Linked DNA regions of Oryzias latipes. Each later gene encodes a partner of the first gene's protein in a complex. Links are inferred from orthologs where the notes say so. Each region holds a gene or a part of one and is shown in the gene's direction. Other genes may lie near its edges. The genes, in order: rbm15, wtap and mettl3.

The links.
Region 2: rbm15 (region 1) and wtap share a complex: the UniProt entries of both Homo sapiens proteins name them as parts of the WMM complex. The link is inferred for Oryzias latipes from reciprocal best matches to the Homo sapiens genes RBM15 and WTAP.
Region 3: rbm15 (region 1) and mettl3 share a complex: the UniProt entries of both Homo sapiens proteins name them as parts of the WMM complex. The link is inferred for Oryzias latipes from reciprocal best matches to the Homo sapiens genes RBM15 and METTL3.

Annotation. Positions count from the first base shown.
Region 1 is NC_019865.2:10,859,899-10,864,042, forward strand, and holds the start of rbm15 (putative RNA-binding protein 15), read left to right. Parts: upstream 1-1,227; 5' UTR 1,228-1,391; coding exon 1,392-3,929; 3' UTR 3,930-4,144. UniProt on the Homo sapiens protein: RNA-binding protein that acts as a key regulator of N6-methyladenosine (m6A) methylation of RNAs, thereby regulating different processes, such as hematopoietic cell homeostasis, alternative splicing of mRNAs and X chromosome inactivation mediated by Xist RNA.
Region 2 is NC_019882.2:7,325,356-7,329,511, reverse strand, and holds the start of wtap (pre-mRNA-splicing regulator WTAP), read left to right. Parts: upstream 1-1,261; 5' UTR 1,262-1,344; exon of another isoform or gene 1,345-1,481; intron 1,482-1,534; exon of another isoform or gene 1,535-1,611; intron 1,612-2,022; 5' UTR 2,023-2,030; coding exon 2,031-2,060; intron 2,061-2,162; coding exon 2,163-2,218; intron 2,219-2,291; coding exon 2,292-2,350; intron 2,351-2,445; coding exon 2,446-2,573; intron 2,574-3,906; coding exon 3,907-4,085; intron 4,086-4,156. Other genes in the region: sod2 (superoxide dismutase [Mn], mitochondrial), read right to left, coding at 336-364. UniProt on the Homo sapiens protein: Associated component of the WMM complex, a complex that mediates N6-methyladenosine (m6A) methylation of RNAs, a modification that plays a role in the efficiency of mRNA splicing and RNA processing.
Region 3 is NC_019876.2:17,633,677-17,637,169, reverse strand, and holds part of mettl3 (N6-adenosine-methyltransferase catalytic subunit), read left to right. Parts: intron 1-415; coding exon 416-606; intron 607-688; coding exon 689-1,144; intron 1,145-2,981; coding exon 2,982-3,157; intron 3,158-3,493. UniProt on the Homo sapiens protein: The METTL3-METTL14 heterodimer forms a N6-methyltransferase complex that methylates adenosine residues at the N(6) position of some RNAs and regulates various processes such as the circadian clock, differentiation of embryonic and hematopoietic stem cells, cortical neurogenesis, response to DNA damage, differentiation of T-cells and primary miRNA processing.

The DNA of each region.
Region 1 (4,144 bases):
ACACACACACATACATACAGTAAAACAAAATGAAAAATGAATAAAAATTTTAAATCATACTTCCAGTTTCACTACTTTCTGGACACTTGCAAAGAGGCTTCCGATTTAGAAAATAAATCATATGGAACATGTCCATGTGTTTTTGTTTGTATCTTTTAATATTCAGTTAATATGTTGATATTTGGGTCATTCCAGAACTGGAGGACATTTGGGCTGCAAAATTCATGAAGAGCAAACTTTGACTTTTCTAATTCTCTGCTATATAATCGTCAATAAAAGGTAATATCTGTCAAAGGCTTGATTAACTTTGCTTACAGATCAACTGCGAAATATTTATGACATTATATTGATGATGACAAGACTTGATGCAACCTTGTTATCAATTTTTGCAAGTAACAGGGTTGCAAACATGTATTAATATTGACTTTCTCTCAGGAGTAGACGCTAGTTGTTTAGCTGTCACTGAGTACCAATAAGAAAATTAATGTGATTTCAATGGCATGCCTTTTTGCATTTCTGACCACCCCAGAATGAATGGTGATATCTTGTTTTTCTCAGTTGCTACTTTACATGCTAATTTGATTGCTTACTTACTCATAAAAAAGCAACAACAATAACAATAATTGTCTTACTCTGATTATAGGGAAACAGGGTTGCATGAGGCGGAGTGAGACATTCAATCTAGGATAACTATGTGTTAAAAATAAAAGATCCACGTAACTTTTGCTCTACCCATTCTTTTTGAATACTGTTTGATGATGTCAAGTCCAGCATATCACTCTTTGCTATATTCTAACCCTCTTACCTGTTATGGTAAAAGGAATTGTGTGGATTCGGTGGGAAACACATTGTATTGATCATAAATAATATTTGAAATACTTCTTTTATTTAAAAAAATCCCACGGTTACATAAAACACCAATCAAAACAAGATATACCAAAAACTGAATCTAAAATTTAATTTTAACTGCTTTTATTGAAGATTTAATTTGGACAATGGGGGACGGGACAAGAAAAAATGCATTTTAGGGGGTACATTGAGCTTATTTGGCATTTTTTAAATTATTTTCAGTAATTATTTTCACTTAGTTTTGCATGTGGATTATTTAAAATAGGTTTATTCTGAAATGACCCATTTTTTAATCCATCGCTGTGTGCGTGATTGACGGGATTTTAAAAGGTTTTAACCAATCGCCGCCCCCCAAACACCGGCCAATCAGCGCATGGAGGCGGGTCTTCTCACAAATCTTAACAAAATGGCGACTGTTGTTGTTTTGCCGCAGGGTCGGTAAATAAATTCTTTGAACGTATTGGATATTTTCTACATTATTTTGTGGAAGGAGTGCAGGAAAAAGCCAGTTACCACAAAGAGTTTACTCTTCGTGGGCTGCAATGAAAGGAAAGGAGCGGTCGCCGATTAAAAAACGGTCCCGGGCCTTGGACGACATTCGAGAGAGGGGAGGATGCCACCCGACCAGCAAGAAAATGGGGGCTCTCTCCGTTTCCAGTGGGAGTAATAATGGAAACAGTTCGTCCAAAAGCGACAGCGGCTCAACGAGACGGAGCTTGTTGGGTGAGAAAAGGGACAGAGATTTTGAGGGCCATAGTCGGACTGGAAATAATCACAGCTGTCAGTCTGCTGCTTCCAGCTCCGTGGGTAAAAACCACAACCTGAGCCTGTCGCTAGACCTAGCCTCCCCGCGAGCCTCTTCGCGCGCGGAGCAGCGTGTTCCGCCGCCCAGCACCGAGAGTGAGTACAAAACACTCAAAATCAGCGACCTTGGGAATCAGCTGAGCGAGGAGGATATAGAAGATGGGCTTTTTCATGAATTCAAAAAGTTTGGCGACGTGAGCGTCAAAATTAGTCGCAGCAACGACGAACGGATTGCTTTCGTTAACTTCAGGAAGCCGGAGGACGCCAGGGCTGCTAAACACGCCAGAGGCCGGCTCGTGCTCTACGACCGGCCGCTGAAGATCGAGGCCGTTTACACGAGCAGGAGGAGAAGCCGCTCCCCCGTGGAGAGGGACTTGTACAGCGCAGCACAAAGTCACAGACACTTGCAGAGACCCCTGTCGCCCACCGGCCTGGGTTACAGAGACTACCGGCTGCAGCAGCTGGCTTTGGGACGGCTCCCTCCTCCCCCTCCGCCCCCTCTGCCCAGAGAACTGGACCGGGACAGAGAGTTCGCCCTGTTTGAAGCCAGGGCACGTCCAGCTTTCCTTGCAGAGCGAGCAGCTTTTCGTGAAGAGGATTTAATATCTCCGGAAGACGACCAAAGAGCAAACAGGACTTTGTTTTTAGGCAACTTGGACATAAACATTGCAGAAGCAGACCTCAGGCGGGCTTTCGACAGGTTTGGAGTCATAACAGAGGTGGACATCAAGAGACCATCACGAGGACAGACCAGCACATATGGATTTCTTAAGTTTGAGAACCTTGACATGGCTCATCGTGCTAAGCTTAGCATGTCTGGAAAAATAGTGGGTCGCAACCCTATAAAAATCGGTTACGGAAAAGCAACACCCACGACCCGTTTGTGGGTCGGTGGACTTGGACCGTGGGTTCCTTTAGCTGCCCTGGCCAGAGAATTTGATCGCTTTGGCACTATAAGGACCATTGACTACAGAAAAGGTGACACTTGGGCCTACATCCAGTATGAAAGTTTAGATGCTGCTCAAGCAGCATGGACACACATGAGAGGCTTTCCGCTGGGAGGCCCAGAGAGAAGACTTCGGGTGGATTTCGCAGACACTGAGCACCGGTACCAGCAGCAGTTCTTGCAGCCTCTCCCTATTCCACCGTTTGACATGGTGGCTGACTCGTTTGTCCACCGCGCCACGCCTGAACCTCTGAGAGTCAGAGATCGGACTCCACCTCCACTTCACTTCAGGGACAGAGAACTCTTTCCAGCAACGGAGTGGCCCAACCCGGCCATTCGTGAGCGGGTCCGGGGATCCCCCTTTGAGCCTCTGGAACATTTGGAACGCGACCGGAGAACTCGAGAGCCTTGGTCTTTGGAGCGTGAGCTGCAAGGGCGAGAACCAGGACGTAAGAGACGCTTATTGGAGGATGGCCGTCACCTAGATCACTCTCCTGACAGCACTGAGAGGACAGTGAGACGTAGACGTTCTTCTCCAGATGGCAGTCCTGGGGGCAGCAGCAGAGACGGAGGACGTTTCAGTGACTCTGAGCATCCTGTGCACAGTGAAACGGCCTCACCAGCCAGAGAACATGTCATTAGCCTTGAAAGAGGTGGGGCGGATCGAAGGGTTAAAAGCCAGAGTCTTTCTGAGAAAGGACTCTCATCTGCTGGTGAGCGGAAACGCAAAGCGGGCGACAGTGGCAAAGTGCCTGCCAAGAGAGAACGCTCTGAAAGCAGCTCTAAAGGAGCCCAGCAATCCAAACCTGATGGCACCAAACTCATTGTGGCATGGCGCGGAATGCTGCTCCTGAAGAACAGCAACTTTCCAGCCAGCATGCATCTCCTAGAAGGTGACTACGGCGTCGCCAGCGACCTGCTCATCGACGGCTCAACCGGAAGGCAGGTGAGCGAGCTAAAGATCACGCAGCGTCTCCGTCTGGACCAGCCAAAGCTTGATGAGGTGTCTCGGCGCATCAAAGTCGCCGGTCCAGGCGGCTACGCCATCCTGTTGGCAGTTCCTGGAAGCACAGAGGACTCCTCTTCATCTGATCCTATGGCCTCAACCCAGCGGCCCCTTCGCAACCTGGTGTCCTACCTCAACCAAAAACAAGCAGCTGGGGTCATCAGTCTGCCTGTGGGAGGGAGCAGAGATAAAGACAACACAGGGGTTCTTCATGCTTTCCCCCCCTGTGATTTCTCTCAGCAATTCCTGGATTCCTCTGCAAAAGCTCTGGCAAAAAGCGAAGAAGACTATCTGGTCATGATTGTGGTTCGTGGAGCATCTTAAAAAAAAAAAAAGAGAAAAAGTCACAATGCACTATGTTCAAGTGGAATATAAGAAAAAACAAGTCTGCTGTTTGTCAGTAATTATTGCATGCTGTGTTCTGCATTGTGGGGTACACTAGTATGGTTCTTGAGTGTTTGTAAGGTGCCATGTAATTCACTAAAAAGACATATGGTGCCCTGCAACCAAACTAAAAGGTTCATCTTAAAAATATCAAG
Region 2 (4,156 bases), on another chromosome or scaffold:
AGAAAAGGCAAAAAACTCAACATCGTTGTGGCAAATAACCTTTTTTTAGCTTGTGATTTTAGCTCAACAAGCCAGTGACATTTACCAACCAATTAAAGTAAGAAATAGAAAACATGAACGAATTTGTACATGCAATAATACTTAAACGCTTACACTATACTAAGAGTTGTTTTCGTTGTACGTCACAAGTTTTTAACTAAGCAGCTAAACCAGATTAGCATTGAAGTTAGCTAACAGTTAGCACAACAAAGCAAACAGTTTTCCACGCTGCTGATACAAGTATTTTCTTTTAGTTTTTGAACTTTACATAAAAATATAACGTAGACACATCTTACCTGCGCATTTGCCAGACTTTGCAAAGCATGTTTGCTTAAAGGTTAGAGAGCCAAGAAAAGTGAAAACAAGGCGGTATTACTGCCCTTGAAATGGGCAATTTCAACTTGACAGCGGAGTCGACCGTACCATTATCAGAATATGGGGATGTTATCGAAAATGGCTTAAATTCATATAAGCTTGAAAGGCAATATATACTATTTTTATATATATTTATAAGATAATAATTATATTTTCGGCAATTCAATTGCAACCAACGTCATCTTTTAAATTTTGAGATTTATTTCTCGGTCTTACCACTTTTCCTTAGCCCTGTCTTTTGGTAGATACCGAAGATTTATTGTAACATGGGGCCACATGTGTGCGAAAAAAATTTTTTTAAGCCCTTTTCGTTTATTGTACTCAAAATTTAATCATATTAAACTATACAATATTTGTAAGGTTGAAAATTTGTAACAACTTTGCGTCACGATTAAAAAATAACTATGTAACCATTGGAATCACGTGGTCTTTGCGTCACTGTGTTGAAATGGATACCAAAGATCGTCTATATCTACAACGAACCACTCTACATAATTTAAATGCGATCTGTTGTGATTGTAAATTTTGTGATCAAAGTAAATCCAGTTTTTTGGTTTGCAATGCAAAAAAGATGAAAAGACGCGTAAGGTTATGTCACATCAGCAAGGAAATAAATTAATTTCCCTTTCTTAGTCATTACAACATTTGAGAATAGTATTGGGTCAACAGCTTTGGATCGTTTTCTTTAGATAAACTAATAATGTAATACATCGCAAACCCAGAAACATTCAAGGAAAAACACAGAACTAAATGCAGTTTTAAATCTTAAAACATTTGATCACAACCATTTTGATTGTCCGGAATTTTAGGATCGGAAAATGTGAGCGTAGTGAGCAGACTTTTCTCTCCTGTCCACTGCTGGTATTACTCCGCAGAAACTCAAGTGCAGTGCAGCACCTCATCCTCCAGAGCCGTCCTGTTCTTCTCTCGGTAAAGGGGATGATTCTGAACACTTAAAGACGAGGCCACAACTTTTAATCAACCACCACTCTTTACGCATTTAAAAACAGTTACAGAGAATCTGTAAACCTCGAAGGTTTTTCGAAACATTGAAGCGAACGGGCCCGGTGAGTGTTATGATCGCGTAGGCCGCGTGACTGCAGCTAAGAGCCCGCTAGTTTCAGGAAAAGAAGCGCAGGGGTGGGAGTCATTTCCTTCACCGCCATTTTGTTATAACAAGAAGCCGAACATAGCTAAGTAATTATACACTTGATGCTTAGATAAACGACACGTTGAAAGATAACATCGCAGGTCTCTAAAATGTGTTTACGTCGCCGAAATGCTAAACGATTATTAGCAGTGAGGGGTTAACCTTGAGTACTTTTTAAAGGAAACCCTCCGCCGCTGACTGCAACAGTCGTTAGTAGTACTCGGCACGACATACCCTATTATCGGGTTATGTTCACTTTAGTTTCGCGGGTTTGTTGAATATAGCAATGGCAGTTCACTGTTGACACTTCAGTTTTGTCGGGAAGGCCCGTTTATAATAATTTTTGAGGGCGTCTGTGATCAAACGTGACGTCTAATATTTAACTGCGTGACGGCCAGCGCGAGGACAGGATGCCCAACAAAAAAAATAACACGTTTTCTGCTTATTTTCATTCCTAGAGAGCACAATGACCAACGAAGAACCTCTGCCCAAGAAGGTGAGTCTGATCCAGATTAAAACTACTCTTTAAGGGTGCTGTTGGTTGGTAATGGATGTCTAAGCAGCTTTTTGTTTATTCTATTTTTATTTTATTTTACAGGTTCGCCTCACTGAATCTGATTTGAAGACCTTGACCAGAGAGGAGCTGTGTACACGGTAAACAACAGCCCCTGTCCCCTCCTGTCTTCTGATGATGTTGAGCTGTTTACATGGATCTCATTCTCCTCAGGTGGAAGCAGCATGAATCATATGTCCAGGTCTTGGAGACTAAATATGCAGAGCTGTGTTGTAAGTTCACTTAAAAAATAGATCTAGCCCGTTGCATCGCAGAGTGTCGGCTGATGAGTTTGTTTCTCTTCCCTCCCATCATCCACCCCCCTCAGCCAACGACGTCCCGGGCCTGAAGGAGTCTGAGGAAAAGCTAAAGCAGCAGCAGCAGGAGTCGGCTCGGAGGGAAAACATCCTGGTCATGCGACTTGCCACCAAGGAGCAGGAGATGCAGGAGTGCACAGTAAGTCTCTCGCTCAGGTTTTTAATATGCAACACTAAAAAGATGAGTTGTTCTAAAGTTGCAGCACCTGGAAGAAATATTTAATGCTTTCTGTATCGTTACAGTATAATTTCTAAACATTTTTCTGCCTTTATTAGATAGAAAGTTTGAAGATAAAATGTTAAAAGCATAAGAATCACTAAAAAAACTTGACAAACCTGAAAGCATCTGTCTTTAGGGGATAAAAACACCAAAATATTAGATTCTTTTTAATTAATATTTCTTTTCAAATTGCCTACAAGGTGGGGGTTGTTTTTTATTTTGGAGTCTATCAATTTACCAAGACACATGTTAAGGATTTATAAATTGCATGAAAGGGAATGTGTGTTAATGAGAACACATCTTGGTTTGTAATCATTCTAGATGAGAACAAGTTGTGGTGGTTTGCAAGCTTTTACATCCAAATATTTAAAGTATTTTCTTTCTTATCACTTTTTAGATGTGGATACTGAATCGCCTGTTTGCTATTTTAAAACGACACTAGAGTGAAAGCAGCTTTTACTTAAAGCCTCGGATGAAAATTGTGTTTTTGACATGTTCTTGTGGGGTTTTTCTAATGGAAGAGGACATATTTAAAGACAGTTAGGCTTAAAGTTGCATTTCTAAGTATTTCTTTATTCAAATCATGAATCAGGAGTGGTTGGTAAAATTCTGCTACATAGGAAAATAGACTGATCTCTGATCTGCTGCATTCTGATCCATCCACTTGTAGGCAGATCCACGTGCGTCTTTGTTTTCCTCGCCTGAGCTGGCATCAGGCTCAGAACTCGTCTGGAAGGCTCCAGTATTGCTCACGATTTTTGTTGCGCTGGTAATGTTAGGTTGAGTCTGTGAAGGGCTGTAAGCTAGCAGGAGAGAGCGATAACAAATGGGTGGAGAAGCAGAGGCAAATTTCTAACGAACAACTGCCTTTCTGCAGAAAATATGTCCTTTAAAATAAAGATATTTTTTACATAATTTTTTTCTACAATTACTTTGTTTTTATATTCTATTTCCTTTTAAGATTACAATGCTATTGTAACACACAAATTTCCCATGTGTGGGATCAATAAAGTGATTCTGATTCTAAAAACAACATAAGCGTAATTACAAGACCACTGGGAAAGTTTTTAAAATCACTCAAAAGAGGATCGAAGTGGGACTTAAAACTAAGCGTCTAGACGCAGATTAGCCTAGATTTTGATCTATTTGAAAGCAGTTTTGTTACATTTTTAAAGGGAAGATGTTTAGGTGTTAAAAGCAGCTTCATAATGTGTGTGACTGGACTCTAACACCTGCCTGTTGCCTCCTACAGACACAGATCCAGTACCTGAAGCAAGTCCAGCAGCCGAGTGCAGCCCAGCTGCGGTCGTCCATGGTGGATCCAGCCATCAACTTGTTTTTCCTCAAAATGAAGGCTGAACTGGAACAGACTAAAGACAAACTGGAGCAGGCCCAAAATGAACTGAGTGCCTGGAAATTTACACCTGATAGGTAAAGACAATCAAAATATCTCCCCCCACCTAAAAAAAAAACAAAACAAAAAAAAAGTCAAGACTTCCTCA
Region 3 (3,493 bases), on another chromosome or scaffold:
AAACAAGTAGATACAGTAACGTCTTCATTTTCCTCGTCTGAGCTGACATCCAGCTCAAAACTGTACGGCTGGATACCTCTGATATTGCTCGCTATTTTTGTTTCACCCCTAATACAAGCTGGGAGTGTTGAGGGGCTTTAAGCTAGCAGAAGAGCGTGTAAATAGAGGGTGATGGGATATCAGCAGAGGGTCACAATTCAGAGGCGAAGCCTGATGAACTCTTGCCGTTTTAAAGAAAAAATGTCTTTAGAAAAACAACACAGGCTTTTGGCCAAAACAGCATAATCATAATTAAAAGACGACTGGAAATGGTTTAACAATAGATATAAATATAGTCGGAGTCCGACTGTTAAATGTGTTTATGCGTTTTCTTTTCTTTTCTAATGCAATGTGTTGGTCCTTCTTGGTCTCTCAGACAGTGGGACCGTCCCAGATGGCTCTGCAGTCAGGAGTGACAGCCCGGCTCCACCAGCTCCATCCAGCTCTCAGGAGGAGACAGAAAAACCACCGGATCCTGAGCTGGAGAAAAGGCTGCTGGGATATCTGTCTGACCTGAGTCTTTCGTTGCCTATAGACTCCCTTGCCATCAGTAATGAACTCAACAATGTAAGGTGGTTTTCTGGGATCATTGAAGAACCTGTTGGATGCGGCGTTCTACACTATGATTTCTTTGTTTATCTGTCTGAAGCCTGAAGCTGCCGCCAGTCATGGATGCATCCAGAGCCTCCTGCTAAAGTTCTCAGCTCAGGAGCTCATTGAAGTCCGACAGCCCACGTCCGTCTCTGCCTCCTCCGCGGTTCCCTCCTCCACCGTCGTGGTGGCAGTGGATCACACCAAGCTGTGGGCCATGATTGGATCCGTGGCGGGATCCCAGAGGACGGCGGTCAAGAGGAAAGCAGAAGACGTGGCCTTCAGTAGCAGAGCCGGCAGCTTCTCGCCTTCCCTTCAGAGCTCTGCTTCTCCTCCACGCTCATCCATCTCCTCCCTGACGCCCGCCTCCTGCTCCCAGCTGACTGGCTCCTCTGCGTCGGGGGGCGGAGCCGAGAAGAAGGGCAGGAGCAACAAAAGCCAGTCTTCTCACGTGGACATGGAGATCGAGAGCCTGTTAAACCAGCAGTCCACCAAGGAGCAGCAAAGCAAGAAGGTGATCCAATGTTTTTCTCTGCCGGAAATGAATCCTCACTCCTGATGTTTTCACAGATAGAAAGACGGAGGAAAGCAAGTAATCAATGTTAAGAGTCTAAAGTGGGATTTCAATGTATTTTTACACATCAAGGGAACGTTCGTGTACAACACGGATAATCAAAACAGAGAAAATAAAACGGTGTCTGGTGTGTGTAAGATTAAAGTTAAACAGAAGAAAATATAAAATCCAAAAGTCAACGATTAATTTGCCAAGAGGAAATAAGTATCACCATTTTTAGCTTAGTAAACATTTCTTTTCTTCAAAATCTACACCCATAATTATGCATTGCTCAGTGATATTGACTGATACATTAGAAACGAATGTAAACCTCATACCTGGAGATCAACCAAGTCTTTTCTACTAAATGCTGTTGAGTTTGTCCAATTATCAAAACCATTAACAATGTTGAGCAGCAAAACCGTAAGGAAAATTGGACCTGTGTTTGGTAAATGTAAAGAAGATGAAATATTACAGGGGTCGGGAACCTATGGCTCGCGAGCCATATATGGCTCTTTTGATGGTCACATGTGGCTCGCAGACGAGAAAAATATTAGGTCTTTTCTGGCCAAAAAGTGGAAAAACGTTTGAAAACTGCGTGGACTCAAACCACGAGTATGTTTGATATTTAATAAAATAAACTTCACGTCCTAAAAGTTAAGAAAATTTTTAATTTATACTCTTGTAAAATATCCTTTTGAGACATTTTTGTGAATGAGATAATATTAGAAAATATTTATTTTATTTGTTATGATTGAAGCTTCCAGCTTTAAAGCTAAATGTTGCTTCATTATTTTTTACATTTTTGGGGTCTGTTTGGGGTCAAATCAGGGTCAGTTTAAAGGGAAGTGAAATTCCAAACTGGAAATTAGTAAAAAAAAAAAAAAAAAAAAGCAGTTTTAAACTCAAAATTACACATTCCTCTCCTTTCCTCTCTTTTCTTTTTCTACTGTTGGAAGAGGCTTGGTGTGAAATGTCAAAGCCGTGCAAATCAGTTGAATCTTTGGCAACTCTATTCTCATAGATGAAAAACTTGCTGTCATTGAATTCACAAACTACAATTCTTCATTTCTCCTCCATGATTCATGTTCAAATGGTTGCCACTTTTGTGAATTAAAAGGAACACCATCCATACGTCACTACTAAGTACGAGTCTCTGACTGAAGTTCAACCTGGTTTAACTTTCAACACGCATTCAAAATTTGTTTAGATCCGCTGGAAAGTGAGAGCTTTGAATGCAAAAGCCTCGTTTAAACAGAGCTTTCAATGAAAGTGCTCTTGTTGCCAGGGGCGATGTGAACAAAGCTCCACTCCCACATAAAAATGGTCTCAACACCAAGAAATGTTGAAAATACAAAACAGCAGCTGTGACAAAAAAACATAATTTTTCATTTGGTAACAGTTTTAGATTTGTTCTTTTTTAACCCCTCCAGACTCGAATTTATTTGCAACTGAAAAAAATAAATTCCACTTGAGTTTTTGCTTTCAAGTAGATGATAAATTCAGTTAATTTTGCAGCAGAAGTGGTTCGATGCACATTTACATCAATAGACATAAAGGGGGTTTTAACTTAAGTTTCAAACTTAATTGTTTTTCTGATTTTCAATATTTCTTTTACCGCAAGTTTGAATTATTTTTGTTTCAAATTTTCTTTTTCAAAGTTTGCTTTTTTTTATTTTCTTTTTAATGTAATTTACAATCTAGTGTTTTATTTACTTTCAGCTGATCGTCATTTGACCCCAGGTTGGAGGTCAATGCTCTTTCATCATCATCATCATGTTTCTGAACATGTGTGCAGGTGAGCAGAGAAATCCTTGAGCTGCTGAACGCCAGCACCGCCAAAGAGCAGTCCATCGTGGAGAAGTTCCGCTCGCGAGGACGCGCTCAGGTCCAAGAGTTCTGCAACCACGGGACCAAAGAGGAGTGCGTCCGCTCCGGGGACGCTCCTCAGCCGTGCACCAAGCTGCACTTCCGGTGAGATTTCTGCCTCAAAGCCCAACATTTGACCCCTCGACTTCTTAAAGCTCACTCTGGTTTGATGTTGCTGAATTAGAAGAAACCACTGTTTTATATTTATATTAGAAAAAAAAAACTACCTATTTCAACCTGAAGATGGCGCCATTTATCTAACAAAAAGCAGCTCATCTAACTATATAGCCATTGCTTTTTGACACACATCTCATTAAATTCTATGGATGAACTTTTTTTTTTTCTATTGCTTTTTTGTAATTTGCTTTAATTCTAGGATAAAATTCAGATTTTACATTTTTACTCTTCTCGCTCATCTTTTTATTCTTACATTTGTTCCGA